2 linked regions of the Saccharomyces cerevisiae S288C genome follow. The protein of the gene in region 1 purifies or fractionates together with the protein of each later gene. This does not show direct contact. Each region holds a gene or a part of one and is shown on either strand. Other genes may lie near its edges. The genes, in order: RPN9 and SPG5.

The links.
Region 2: the proteins of RPN9 (region 1) and SPG5 purify together in Saccharomyces cerevisiae (affinity purification with mass spectrometry, with the first as the bait; one large-scale study listed by BioGRID). This does not show direct contact.

The regions. Positions count from the first base shown.
Region 1 is NC_001136.10:1,320,409-1,331,517, forward strand, and holds RPN9 (proteasome regulatory particle lid subunit RPN9), read left to right. Parts: upstream 1-1,796; coding exon 1,797-2,978; downstream 2,979-11,109. Other genes in the region: SNX41 (Snx41p), read left to right, coding at 1-1,533; BNA7 (arylformamidase), read right to left, coding at 3,046-3,831; TIF35 (translation initiation factor eIF3 core subunit g), read right to left, coding at 4,069-4,893; CYM1 (pitrilysin family metalloprotease), read right to left, coding at 5,093-8,062; mRNA-binding protein NPL3, read left to right, coding at 8,375-9,619; GPI-anchor transamidase GPI17, read left to right, coding at 10,829-11,109. UniProt on the Saccharomyces cerevisiae protein: Acts as a regulatory subunit of the 26S proteasome which is involved in the ATP-dependent degradation of ubiquitinated proteins.
Region 2 is NC_001145.3:644,060-647,277, forward strand, and holds SPG5 (Spg5p), read left to right. Parts: upstream 1-1,596; coding exon 1,597-2,718; downstream 2,719-3,218. Other genes in the region: ATP-dependent DNA helicase SGS1, read right to left, coding at 1-1,199; GYL1 (Gyl1p), read left to right, coding at 3,059-3,218. UniProt on the Saccharomyces cerevisiae protein: Required for survival at high temperature during stationary phase.

The sequences.
Region 1 (11,109 bases):
ATGAATGGGACACAGCAGATCCAAATCATTGATGCCGGCGATTTCAAAGATCCATGGGGGAAACACGCTATCGGTTACGTAATTCTATATGAAAACAACAAGATTATCAGAAGGTACTCTGAATTTCATTCTTTGAGGCAATCTCTAACTAGACTCCTTCCTACGATAATTATTCCACCCATTCCATCCAAGCATTCTCTTCTCAAATACATATGGAGTCCCATAAACGCAGCAAATGATTCCAAAATTATCTCCACCAGGAAGAAAATGCTCAATTCATTCTTGTCTAACTGTCTGAACATTCAAGAAATAAGCAACGATATTGTTTTTCAAAAATTTCTAAACCCTGAATTTAATTGGAAAGATGTTTTAAGTTCGTCGCCGATAATCATACTACCTTTGAATAACCTTTTAGCTCCACCTTTAAGCCCAACAAAACCAAGCCCCCTTCATTCTATTTTACCTATTCCATCCAACTCGTCTCTGAGAAACTATAATTCGATTTGGCAACAACACATCACAGTAAAAAGTCATAATGAAATTTCCAACCTCCCAACAGAAATTTTACAAAACGAATCTCAATTTACACATATTGAAAATTTATTCCAAAATTATAAGCGAATAATCACCCATTTATTAAAAAACATAAGATCAAATAAATCTCATTTCCACTCCTTGTCCACGTATTTTGCTGAATTAGGCGCATATTATAATGCTTTTAGTTTGGAAAATGACATAACCATGCCCAACAGCCTTCGCGAATCTGAAAACAATTCAAACAACCCAATGATGGAAATTATTAGTCATATTGAAAAGACAGGCCATTCATTCGATGTTATATACATTTCTTCCGAGATCTTAATAGAAAAGTACACCTCTATTCTTGAGGACCCCATTAATGAGTTATTGCAGTTCTTAAATGAGTCATTCAAAGTTCTAAATTTCAAGAAATTAAAGTTTTTGCAATTTAAAATATTAGAGAGGCTAATTATCGAAAAAGAAACGAAACTTTCGAGTCTCACTGAGATTGAAAACCAACTGCAGAAGATTAATGAAAGTTTAACGCGGTCGACTATATTGACAGATGAAAATTACAAAGATACAAAGGCTGCTGACCTGACATTTGTTAAAAAGGACGTAAGATCGCTATCGAAGTCAAGTTCAAATTCAAGCTCCAGTGGACACCAAAACGAAATTCATATAGGCGCAAGTAAACTAAACTATAAAACGTCTACGCCAACAATGAATCTCAATAAATTAGAAATCAAACAATTGACTGAACAAGAAAGATCTAAACAGATCAAACAGTTGAACCAAGATTTATCCAAATTGAAAGATTGTCTATCAATCTGTATATCAGACATGCTAGAAATTAACAATTCGTCATACAACAGCTTAATGCATACATATAACCATATTAATTTGACCATTGGAAAGATCTTGAAACTTTTCGCAGCTAGCTTCAAAGCATGGATCAAAGAATGTCTGAAGAATTGGAAACTGGCAAAGTTACAAATCGACGAGGCCCTATAAAAAGCATTACCGTCACGCATCGTGTTGCAAATAGCATATACATATATATATATATATATATACATATAACGTATACGTTAGAAAAATTTGAATACACACATTCATTTATCCTATTATTATCATTTTCATTCTTACCCGCTCCCCGCTTTCATCCGGTGGCAAAAGTAAGAACAAATAAAAGCTAGACCTAGATTGAAGAAACTATTAAGTACCAAAAAGCAAACAGTGGGCACACGCGAGGAAACCACATTATATTTCGCAAGATGTTTAATAATCATGAAATTGACACCATATTAAGCACTCTCCGCATGGAGGCAGATCCCTCTTTGCATCCTTTATTCGAACAATTTGAGAAATTTTATGAAGAGAAATTGTGGTTCCAATTGTCCGAATCCTTGACTAAATTTTTTGATGATGCTAAATCTACACCATTGAGGCTCAGATTATATGATAACTTCGTTTCTAAATTTTATGATAAAATCAACCAATTGTCAGTAGTAAAGTATCTACTTGCCTCTTTGAAGGATTCTAAGGATTTCGATGAGTCTTTAAAATATTTGGATGATTTGAAGGCTCAATTTCAAGAATTGGACTCTAAAAAACAAAGAAATAATGGATCAAAAGACCATGGTGATGGTATTTTGTTGATAGATAGCGAAATTGCTAGAACTTACCTGTTAAAGAACGACCTCGTTAAGGCAAGAGATTTATTAGATGATTTGGAAAAGACATTGGATAAAAAGGATTCCATTCCATTAAGGATAACAAACAGCTTCTATTCTACAAATTCCCAGTATTTTAAATTTAAAAATGATTTCAATTCTTTCTACTACACAAGTCTATTATACCTTTCTACCTTAGAACCATCTACAAGCATTACTTTAGCCGAACGTCAACAATTGGCCTATGATTTGAGTATCTCAGCATTGTTAGGTGACAAAATCTATAATTTTGGCGAACTATTACACCATCCAATAATGGAAACTATAGTCAACGATTCCAATTACGATTGGCTTTTCCAATTATTAAATGCTCTAACCGTTGGTGATTTTGATAAATTCGACTCATTGATAAAAGTTCAAATATCAAAGATTCCTATATTGGCTCAACATGAATCATTTTTACGACAAAAAATTTGCCTAATGACATTAATTGAAACAGTTTTTGTCAAAAATATTAGGATGCTTTCATTTGAAGATATTTCAAAGGCTACACACCTACCAAAGGATAATGTCGAACACCTGGTCATGAGAGCCATAAGTTTGGGTCTATTAAAGGGTTCTATTGACCAAGTAAATGAACTCGTTACCATCTCCTGGGTCCAACCAAGAATCATAAGTGGTGACCAAATTACAAAGATGAAGGACAGACTGGTTGAATGGAACGATCAAGTAGAAAAACTGGGCAAAAAAATGGAAGCTCGTGGCCAATCCATCTGGGTTTAGGCCATTGGCAGTTATATATAAAACACACACGCACACATATATATAAATGCAGAAATAAAATCAACTATCAACAAATATTGTCAAAAATATACTTCGCAACTTTACCATTCTTATAAACATCATTATGCAAACCCAAATCGTCCAAATACAACTTGAAACTTAACTGATAATCCTGAAGACAAGAAATTAAACAATTAGTTTGTCTTAACGTTAATAACTCGTCGCTATAAGAATGCACTAGGTGCATATCAATACTGAAGCGAGAAAGGGCTTTCTTCACGTAAGGCATTACTCTCGAGGGCTCTTCCTCGTACATTTGAATACCATCAGGGAAGGCAAGTCTTGTAAAACAATCATACTCTGGGTATTCTACCAACAGTTCCTTTAACGAGTATATACCATCCAATAGAAATACTCTCTTCACGATCTGCAAAAGTCCCAACATTTGCAATTGCGCTTCACTCATTTTTTCTTGAGGATCTTTGAGTGCAGCTAATATCTGCCAAATAAAGGTAGCTCCAACGGAATGTCCCACCATATTAATGTTCGTTAATCCCTTTTCTTTAACAAGCCTTGTTATATTTGACACAGCATCATATAAGTTTCTTGGATTTGTGATCTCTGGTGATAACCTGTATTCTATAGAGTATTGACAAACCGTTGACTCAGTATCCATTGATTTGATGGTATTGGCTAATTGATTAAAATCATTGGGCGTATTCTCAGGATCGTTCCATGCACCTCCATGAATGTATATGACAGCCTCTCTAGTGTTTTGTGAGATTTCTTGGAATGTCAATGTCTTGTTGAATAGTGTTATATCTGGTGAAATGGCTCTTACGGTATTTGACATATTCACGACAGCCTCTGAGCTTTTCCTTGCTTTGATTTTTTAGCTTGAATGGATTGCAACTTGTTGTAATCTTACAATCGTTAAAAATTTTACCATGCCGTGCGTGCTTTATAGAATATTGAACAATATTCTTTTAGGTATAGATTGATTAGTTTACATACTTTCTTTCTTAATATCTACAATTTTTATATGAGAAGAGTAACATTAGAAAACAAGTGCAGAGCATATTCTGTGCATCTATTCCTTAACCTTAGGTTTGGACCATTCAACACGTAAAATTAAATTCATATAACCCCTACCATCCAAGAAACGTAAAGCTTGTTCGGCAACTTCTTCGCTCGAAAAGGTAACAAAGGCGAGACCTCTTGATTTACCTGTTTCTTTGTTTCTAACGACAGAAACTCTTGGAATGGGTGCGAATGGGAACAATAACTCTTCTCTCAAACTATTTTCATCGGCATTTTCATTAACTTGCATAATCTTCAAAGTACACATATCATCACGTTCTCTAGAGTCTCTGTAAGCATCGGATGAAGGATCTCTTGCACCAGCACGACGAGAAGGTGGAACATACTGCCCTGGGATGGAACCAGCTCCGCCAACTTGGCCTGCCTTCTCTTCACTGGCGGCCTCGACACCGCCTTCATTAGTGGCTGGGTCTTCTAATGCTGAAAGTTCACTTAAAATTGTCTTGAATGGACAGTTCATGGTCATATGGTCGTTACCACATAATCTACATTGTAGACCGGTCTTTGTGAGACTTGCCTTTTCTTTTTGTATTCTTTCTTCTTCAGCTTGTTTCCAGTTCCTACTCAATCTTAATTCTACTTCTTCACCCAATCTTGCTGTAACAGCACTTGGACCTGCTGGAGACCCTTTTTCAGAGCCATATTTATGCCAGTTTTTTCTTTCTGCAACAGATTTATGGACTTTTTCCAATACTTTAACCTCTTTTACTTTCTGAGTAATCTTATACTTGACACCGTCTTCAATCTTGTATGTAATGATAGATCTAGATCCATCTGCATTCTCTATGATCTCCTCTGGTGCAACTTCACTCATTATTCCTGGTGGTCTTTGGTCTTTTGATCCTTTCAATACAGCGAGTAACTAGGGCTTCTCTTCCCTCTCTTTTGCCATCGTGATAATTTTTCACTTTCCACACTCAGTGAAAGAAAAAAATTTTAACTTCGTTACAAGCGATGAGTATAGATCGGCAAGAAACTTTGAAGCAGTATATTTACAGGATTAAATTATATATCTACAGTTCCTTCACCTCCCAATTTGGTGAAACAGTCTTCCCCTCGATTCCAGGTCCAATGACCGTACTCACCCCTTCTTTGTTTAGTAGATATTTTTCGGCGACTCTATGAACGTCCAGGAGAGATACGTCTAAGAGTTGTTCCCTTCTTGCTTGTTTCATATCGTCTGTAACACCGCTCATGAAATACGTCACGCCTTCTCCTTTGGGACTTTTAGGTGCGTCTACTTGTTGAAATATTGTCAATTTAGCTTCATCAAGGTCTGTGACGCCCCACTTGGCATCGTTCAGTATATAACGCCCGCTATTCTTGAAGGTTTCTAAACTCTTCAAAGGCTGAGGATCCCTATAGGAATAGAAACTGAAAATACCCGCTAAGGCGCTATAAGAAGCACCACCACCATAAGCACCACCCTTTTCTCTGACTTCTCTGTGCAAATGTTTGAATGTTAGCATATTTGACATAACTTGAAGTGCAGAGCCATCCTTATGTGTATACGGCACACCCAATAAAGCTTGGGATGTGTAATGGACCTGGAAAGGAAATTTTATCAAAGTATGTTTACATTTGGATCCAATAAGAGGATAATCTGAAGTCTTTGGTCCATTGGGCAAGCAGCTGCCATGAGGTAATCTCTCCATGAATTTTGAAATTTGGCTTTCTACTGTTTTCGCTTGAACATCAGAGTCTGAGGTGATAAAAAAATTCATGTTATTGGTATCAACAATGTACTTTTGCAATTCAGTTAGCTTGTCGACAACTTCTCTTTGGAAAGTTTCTTCATTGTCTAACAAGCTGTGCAATCTATTTATAAATTGTAGTTGCTCAATACCATTGAGGGTCTCATTTATAGCTCCACTTGATCTATAATGTGCGGCAGAATAGCCCCTTGCAAATGCATGACCGGCATCTGCTACAGAAGATGTGTTTGAAGATGCTAATAAGCGGATAAGAACTTTCAATTTATCGCTGTTTTTATGGAAATCAGTTTCTAGTAAGATCTTAGACCAGAATTCAAAAATGTGGTCGGTCTTCGAATTTAAAGACCATCCGTCAAACCCGAAAATCAGGCGAGGCTCTGTGGTGTTAGGGTCAGATGTAACCTCTACATGTGTTGATATACCACCCGTATGTAATTTTATCTGATCTTCTATTTCACTGAAGGATTCTGTTGTTGTCCCTAGGTTAGTTAACGATTCAGCAAATAAAGGTAAGTATGGGAAGAGTTCAAAGGGTATTATGTCATTTAGTAAACGTTTACCTCTGACATATGTGATACCATTGGTATCAGTAATCCTAGACATTGTATTATTCTTCTGTTCGATTGAATATTTATCACCAGCTCTTGGGATGTCTTTTATTTGTAAGGTAGGTAAACAGGATAAATCTTCTTTTTCATTTTGTTTCTCCTGTAACAGTATACCACGTTTAAAGATGTTTTTCTTGTCTTGTTCATCCAAGGCAGTAATTTTTTCTCTCAGTCTTGTTTGTTCTTCATCATCCAAAGATTTAGAGAACTCTTCAGATCCCTGAATGGAAAACGTGAAACAAGGTTTATGAACGATATATTTACGGATTAAATCTTGGAATAAAGTATCACCTTTCGTTTCTAAGTCACCTCTAAATCTTTGCAAAACGTCCTCAAACAACAAGCTCTCAAAAGGATCGATTTTGTTTGTCCAACCAGGTAGTATAGAATAGAGTAATTGAAGTCCAAAGTCAGCCTTTTGATCCTTCTTAGATAATTCCAATTGTTCAATTATGGCATCGATACGCTTGCGGTCAAAAGGATGTTCTGTTTCCAACAGGTTTTGAAAAATATTATTTACAGTGTCTTTAAATATTTCAATATCACTCACGCCCTGTATACCAACAGTTAGCAAATTTACTGCTGTAGTTGGTTCAACACCTGAATTTACGGAGAACTCCAAACCAATTCCTGATTCTATTAATTTTTGATACATTACAGAAGAATGGCCATCCATTAATAAATTCCCCAGTACTTTTAACAAAAAGGTATCATATGTGTCCTGTGGCGCTCCACAAATCCACGTCATTGAGGCTTTTGTCTGCTTCTCCGGTGGAAGCATAGTATCTATTTGACCCAGTAACTTGACATCTATGTCTTTTTTTAAATCAATAGGCATTAACAACTTATCCTTTCGAGCTCTCTTCCCGTAACCACTGAACTGCTCATTTAATTGCTTTAACGTATCCACCAATGGCAAGTTACCGTACGTGAAAGTTTTTGCATTGGAGGGATGGTAATTTTTGTGATGGAAATCCAAGAGATCGCCGTATCTCAAGTCTGTAATTTTCATAGGATCTCCGCCGGAGTTATTCAGGGAAGGATAAATAGACTGTTGAAATTTACTCCAGAAATAGTAATTGGCATTTGATATTTGACCTTTCATTTCGTTATAGACAACACCTTTGAAAACAATGTTACTCTCCGGGTCTGTGATGTTTTTATGCTCCAACCTCCAACCCTCCTGATCAAAATCTTCTTGTTTAAGTAGCGGATTCAAGGTGGAGTCTAAATAAACACCTCTTAAATTAGCGAAATCTTGAGGGTTCGTAGTGGAAAAGGGAAAAAATGTATAATCTGGACCTGTCATAGCGTTCATGAAATTAGCTAGAGATTTATTTAGCATTTTGAAAAAAGGGTCCCTAACTGGATATTTAACAGACCCACACAACGTTGTATGCTCTAGAATATGAGGGACCCCAGTGGAATCTGGAGGGTTGGTTTTAAAAGCAATGCTGAACACATTATTCTTGTCGTCTCTATCAATATGCAAATGCTCGGCTCCTGTCTGGGAGTGCACCAAATCTACCGCAGTGAGTCTCAGCTCCGGAACCGGTAGAATTCTTCTCACTTCATAACCATGGAATATACCTCCAACTGGATATTTTCTAACGGCCTGTGCTTGGGCATACGAGGACGCAAATCGCTGAAACCGCAACATATATACCGCAGTATATTTTATAGTAACTTTATTCTTTTGAGTAGCCTTCTAATTGGTGGCTTATTGATTACAATTGCTTGTTATCATATCTGTCAATGCTTGTTCAACAATTCAATGATTTACTACTACCTTTATCATAGAGCCCCTCCGTATATTTATCACTGTAAACGAAGGGCAAAATTTTTTACATTCTTTTTTTTCGCCACCCAAAGGGATTTAAAAAGGACATGAGAAAAATAATTTCCTCTCTTCTAAATATATATACTTTTGAAGGAATCAAAATTAAGCAATTACGCTAAAACCATAAGGATAATGTCTGAAGCTCAAGAAACTCACGTAGAGCAACTACCAGAATCTGTTGTCGATGCCCCAGTCGAAGAACAGCACCAAGAACCACCACAGGCTCCAGATGCTCCACAAGAACCACAAGTTCCACAGGAATCTGCTCCACAGGAATCTGCTCCACAAGAACCACCAGCTCCACAAGAACAAAATGACGTTCCTCCACCATCTAATGCTCCAATTTATGAAGGCGAAGAATCCCACAGTGTCCAAGACTACCAAGAGGCCCACCAGCACCACCAACCACCTGAACCCCAACCATATTATCCTCCTCCTCCTCCAGGTGAACACATGCACGGTCGCCCACCAATGCACCACCGTCAAGAAGGAGAACTCTCGAACACCAGATTGTTTGTTAGACCTTTCCCATTGGACGTTCAAGAATCCGAGTTGAATGAAATCTTTGGTCCATTTGGACCAATGAAGGAAGTCAAGATCTTGAACGGCTTCGCGTTTGTTGAATTTGAAGAAGCAGAATCCGCTGCCAAAGCCATTGAAGAAGTTCACGGTAAGAGTTTTGCTAACCAACCTTTGGAAGTTGTTTACTCTAAATTGCCTGCCAAGAGATACCGTATCACCATGAAAAACTTACCAGAAGGTTGTTCATGGCAAGATCTTAAAGATTTAGCCAGGGAAAATAGTTTAGAAACTACTTTTTCTAGCGTCAATACCAGAGATTTTGATGGTACCGGTGCTCTAGAATTCCCTAGTGAAGAAATCTTGGTCGAAGCTTTGGAGAGATTAAACAATATTGAATTCAGAGGTTCTGTCATTACTGTTGAAAGAGATGACAATCCTCCACCAATCAGAAGATCAAATAGAGGTGGCTTCAGAGGTCGCGGCGGCTTCAGAGGCGGCTTCAGAGGTGGCTTCAGAGGCGGTTTCTCCAGAGGCGGCTTCGGTGGCCCCAGAGGTGGATTTGGTGGTCCAAGAGGTGGTTACGGTGGCTATTCCAGAGGTGGCTACGGTGGCTACTCCAGAGGCGGATATGGTGGCTCCAGAGGTGGTTACGATAGTCCTAGAGGTGGTTACGATAGTCCAAGAGGTGGTTATTCCAGAGGTGGCTATGGTGGTCCAAGAAATGATTACGGTCCTCCAAGAGGTAGCTACGGTGGTTCAAGAGGTGGTTATGATGGTCCAAGAGGCGATTATGGTCCTCCAAGAGATGCATACAGAACCAGAGATGCTCCACGTGAAAGATCACCAACCAGGTAAGCCATTTATATAGTTGAGAAAAAAAAAGGAGAAATTAACAAAAGATATGAATTGTTTTAAAACTTAAATATGAGACTGAGAACAAATGAAAAAGGAAAACATCGTATTAAATGTTGAAAAAGTTTTTTTTTTGAAGAACTTCCTCCCCATTCCCTCCCCTCCCTTTTATTAAGTATAGTTTTTGTTTATTAATAAGTTTAGTGTTAGAAGATCCCAAAGTATATGATTGAAAACAGAATTGTTTATTGCGAGTCCCGACTTCACTCCAGTAGATAGAATAATCCCATGATAACATTTAACATCCTTTTTACAACGGAATTTCATTTCCAAATTGATGAGTCGTTAAAACTTCTGTATTGGATTTTAATTAGACCTTCTTTCGTGTAATACTACTACTACTACCTCTAGATTCTTATGTGTCTTTCAATTTTTTTTATTTCCCTGCACCAAACTATCTTTTATTGAATGGAATGTGCTGCAAAATTAACAAAAATAAGTTTTACTTAAAGTTTCTAACGAGAATCTCCTCTTCAACATACGGGCAGGATAATATAATTGACTATACTGATAATGAACCCCGTTTTTTGTTATCTTGTGAGATAACTCAGTGGAAACTTGATCTAGCAGTAGACCAGTTTCCCCTCCCCCAATTAATACTAGAAAGTTGAGAAACTACAGAAATCTTGTAATTTAACCATTTTTTTGTCCCAAGCCGATCTATTTTGGATATCTTATTGTCATTTTTCAAGTGAAAAAAGGTCTCCCTTTCTATACGAGAGTTCTCATATGGAATGAGAGAATAAGCGGTAAGATATCGAACATTCACAAGAAATAAAGTACCAGTTAAGAGGTGCAATTGAATATATACAATATCCTATCATCTTAGTCCTTTGAGTATGCAAAAAGCTACAAATATAGTTGTTAGTTTGGGTCAGGCTAATTTCAAAGAATTTGAACTCCTATAAAGTTAAGTTGAAGAAACTAATAAGTACTATTATGGCCTGTTAAATCTGTGTTACGTATTAAATGATGTGTAATCCAGAAGTTATAAATAATGAAAGATGTCCTTACGTGGAGCTTAATAACAGAGATACAAAGTTTAAAAGGGAACTCGTGTACTAATTGAAGTGTGTACGTGTGCATTAATATTAATAAGGGATAAATAACGATAAAAGAGCCGCTCTTTGATAAGGATTACACGCCAGAATAATGTCCAATGCAAATCTAAGAAAATGGGTTGGTTTTTGCTTTGTTGCCATTTATCTCTTTTTAGGTGTTCCACTGTGGTACAAGCTAACTACAGTTTATAGAGCATCACTACCAATAAATTACATTGAGTCACTTCAAAATAACAAATTCCAAGATATTCATCTCGTAATACCGGTGTATGTTAAGTCAGATACTTACAGATTTCCTGACGTTCATGACGCTATCCAAGTACAAGTTAACCATTTATTGAATTCTCAGGAGCAACGGGTCCCTTGGTCTTT
Region 2 (3,218 bases), on another chromosome or scaffold:
GGATAATCGTCCCTCAAAGATTTACCCATAACATAGTCAAAAGGATCATCCCTATCAGGTATTCTGTAGTTGACTGGTTCTCTTGAACGCATATTTCTCCTTCTTGTAAGTTCATCTTGTTCTTCTGACGTCATGTGGAGATGCGGGAATGCGGGAGAATGTGGAGCCCCCTCCTTCAATATTACAGGAGGGTCACAGTCTATATCATCCTCATCATCCAGGACTTGAATCAAATCATCGTTATTACTATCATTATTGCTATTCTTACCGGTGTTATTAGTAATATTTTGCTTCGCACCAGTGATGGCTAATGCCTTAGTGACGGTAGTCGCAGTAGTACTTGTCAGGTTTGAATTCCTGGAAGATGTATTGTATTCCAAGGGGCTGGGCAGAATGCTTGATATGATATTATCATCTTGTGAAGAAACTTGACTGCGACCTTTACTTTGATCTTTTGACATTCCATCTTTTTTGGCTTTTATGATCTCCTTTTCCAGACTATCTATTCGTATCGACATATTTGATAACTGAGGCCGTATATCCCTACTTAACTGTAGCCTTTTAGCGTCCTCTGACAATGATGTGGATTCGATAATACTACACTTCTGTAGCAATAATTTCGATTGCTCTTTCAATGCCATAATTAGGGAGCCTTGAAGGCGGATCACCTCTAATTTTATATCATTTTCGAGCTGTTTGCCTATACTTGAATTATCGATTACGCTTTTATTGTTATTTCTACTACCTAGATTTCTGCTACTGTCATTTTCGACAAGAGAACTAGCCATGTGCGGTCGAAAAGTATTGAAATTGTGAGTTTTCGAGCCATTGGGCGTCCTCGGGTTCGATACAACACTTGTGCTGGCTGGTATATCAACCATGGGTACGTCAGCATATTGATTCGATGTGGCAGTGTACGAGAGCCATTCTGTATCGTTCGACAAAGTTTGCATGACTTCATGTTGTTTCGTAGCAGTATTCGTTGGTCCAGATGCAGGAATGCTGGTTATAAAGTTTGTTGTTCCTGGTCCACATTCATCTTTGGATGGCGTTGTTGGTGGCGAATTTGTCTTAGGCCTTTTGTTCGCGATGTGCTTTTGGATAGCCTGGAATACGAAATCTTTGTCTTCCTGTAAAGTCGCCGTTTCCTTTAACCATTTGTGCTCCCTTCTTAAGTTATGTGACGGCTTCGTCACCATTACCGCCTTGTGTGTACGTGTATGATTTTTTAAATATATACAACAATAATCTGTATTTTTTCCTTTCCTCTAGCCAATGACTCCAAGCTGGCTGATAAAAACAAACTAAACGGTAAAGCCACAAATCCGAAATGTATCACCAATGATCACCCAGCCTGCTAAGTGCCCTCTATTGATCCGTATATCAGCTTTTAGATCAGGCTCGAGTTTCTTGTTATATGTGCATTGCAAAAGCATAAACAAATCCTGGCAGCCGAAGCCGGGCAATCCACTTCGAAACGCACGGCTGAACTATATAAATATAAAGGACATGTGGAGAGAAGCTTCTCTTCCTTCACATTTCGCATTTCATGATCTAAAGTGGTTCTTTCACAATAGAAGAGCACCAACACGAAATATGGCTGTCGGTGGTAATAACTGGAGCATGTGGCTGCGAATGTCACGGGTCCACCTCAGGCAGATCACGAAGTCTCTGGACCGAACGCTGATCAGTTTGAGCCATGGGAATTTTTCCCACCAATATAATCGCAATATTTTTGTCACTTGGTGGAAGAGCCTATTTGAGGCTTCTACAGCTTTTAGGAGGGCAAGTGGTTTAACGGTATCTCCTCTCACGAGGAGAGGAATCGCAAGGTTTGACCATTTCAGACCTGTTCCCAATGTCAGTAAATTTGCTTCTTTTCCCAGAGTGCCCAAAGGAGCCCCAAGGGGCCTTTTTACCAACTGGAATATGACTACATCAAAGAGATTATTAGGGCAGAGAGCTTATTCGACTTCCAGTATCAAATTTACCCAAGAAGCCGTGAATAACATGACTATATCTTTGAGGTGTTTTTTCAACTCACTAGGCGGATTAAATCAGTGCTCCCACTCTAATTCCTGCAAAGCTTATCAGAATGCGTCTAATGTTACCTCTAAACAGGATCACGTCCAACCAGTTGCCCTTAAGAAGTTATCTCAAAAGGATATCAATTTCATTCGTAATTTAGAACTATTTAAGATAATGAAGACCCAGAATGAAGTCGTTGATGAAACAAGCGCATATTACATGGAAAAACCAGGTTCCTATATTGAATTTACCATTTCAGAATTTAACGTTAATGGGACATTCTCCGCACCTTTGTCATTTTTAGATCCTTCTTTGTTAGCGGATTTGGATGAAATGATTAGAAATTACAAATACGAATTAAAATCAATATACAGTAGTGTTGACATGATCTTGCAGAATTATGGATCATTGCCGATAACTTTTCATCGAAATAAGATTCGAATACATTTTCCAAACTCAACTGTGGTGGAAACAGAAAAACTAATTGCAGGTCTGAATATTGCTACGGGTGTTATTTACGCAGATACGTCTCCCGATATCAGTCTAGAAGGTACAAATTTGAATGCTCTGGTTAATGTTGACAATTCAGGAAGCGTATGGTCTTTTGTTAAGGAGCCCTCGTTTCCCTCTAGGAGCGCTTTTTCACCTATTTTATCAGATGCATCCTATGATACTTATGAATTGGTCTAGCAAAGACGTTGTTTCATCGCGCTATTACCAAGAAGGTTACTTTACTTGTTCTTGCACATGGACGCACGTTGTGTGTTCATATATATATATATATATATATATATATATTTGTGCTTGTTTTCATTGTCTCTATAGTTAATACATTCTATTTTTATCGTTATATTTGCATTCTCTTCGCATAAAAACTTCATGAAAATTCGGCAGAAAATAAGCCATATATGTACTTTATCCATAGGCAAAGAAAAGCACTTAACGAGAATATACAACAATTGCACTAGTACTGCATGTATATACTCTTATGATTATAGCGGCAAGAAAACAAATATAAACACACTAACAGATGAATTCGAATGAAGATATACATGAAGAACGCATTGAAGTTCCACGAACTCCCCATCAAACCCAGCCAGAGAAAGACTCTGATCGCATCGCTCTCAGGGATGAAATATCAGTACCAGAAGGCGATGAAAAAGCATATTCGGATGAGAAAGTAGAAATGG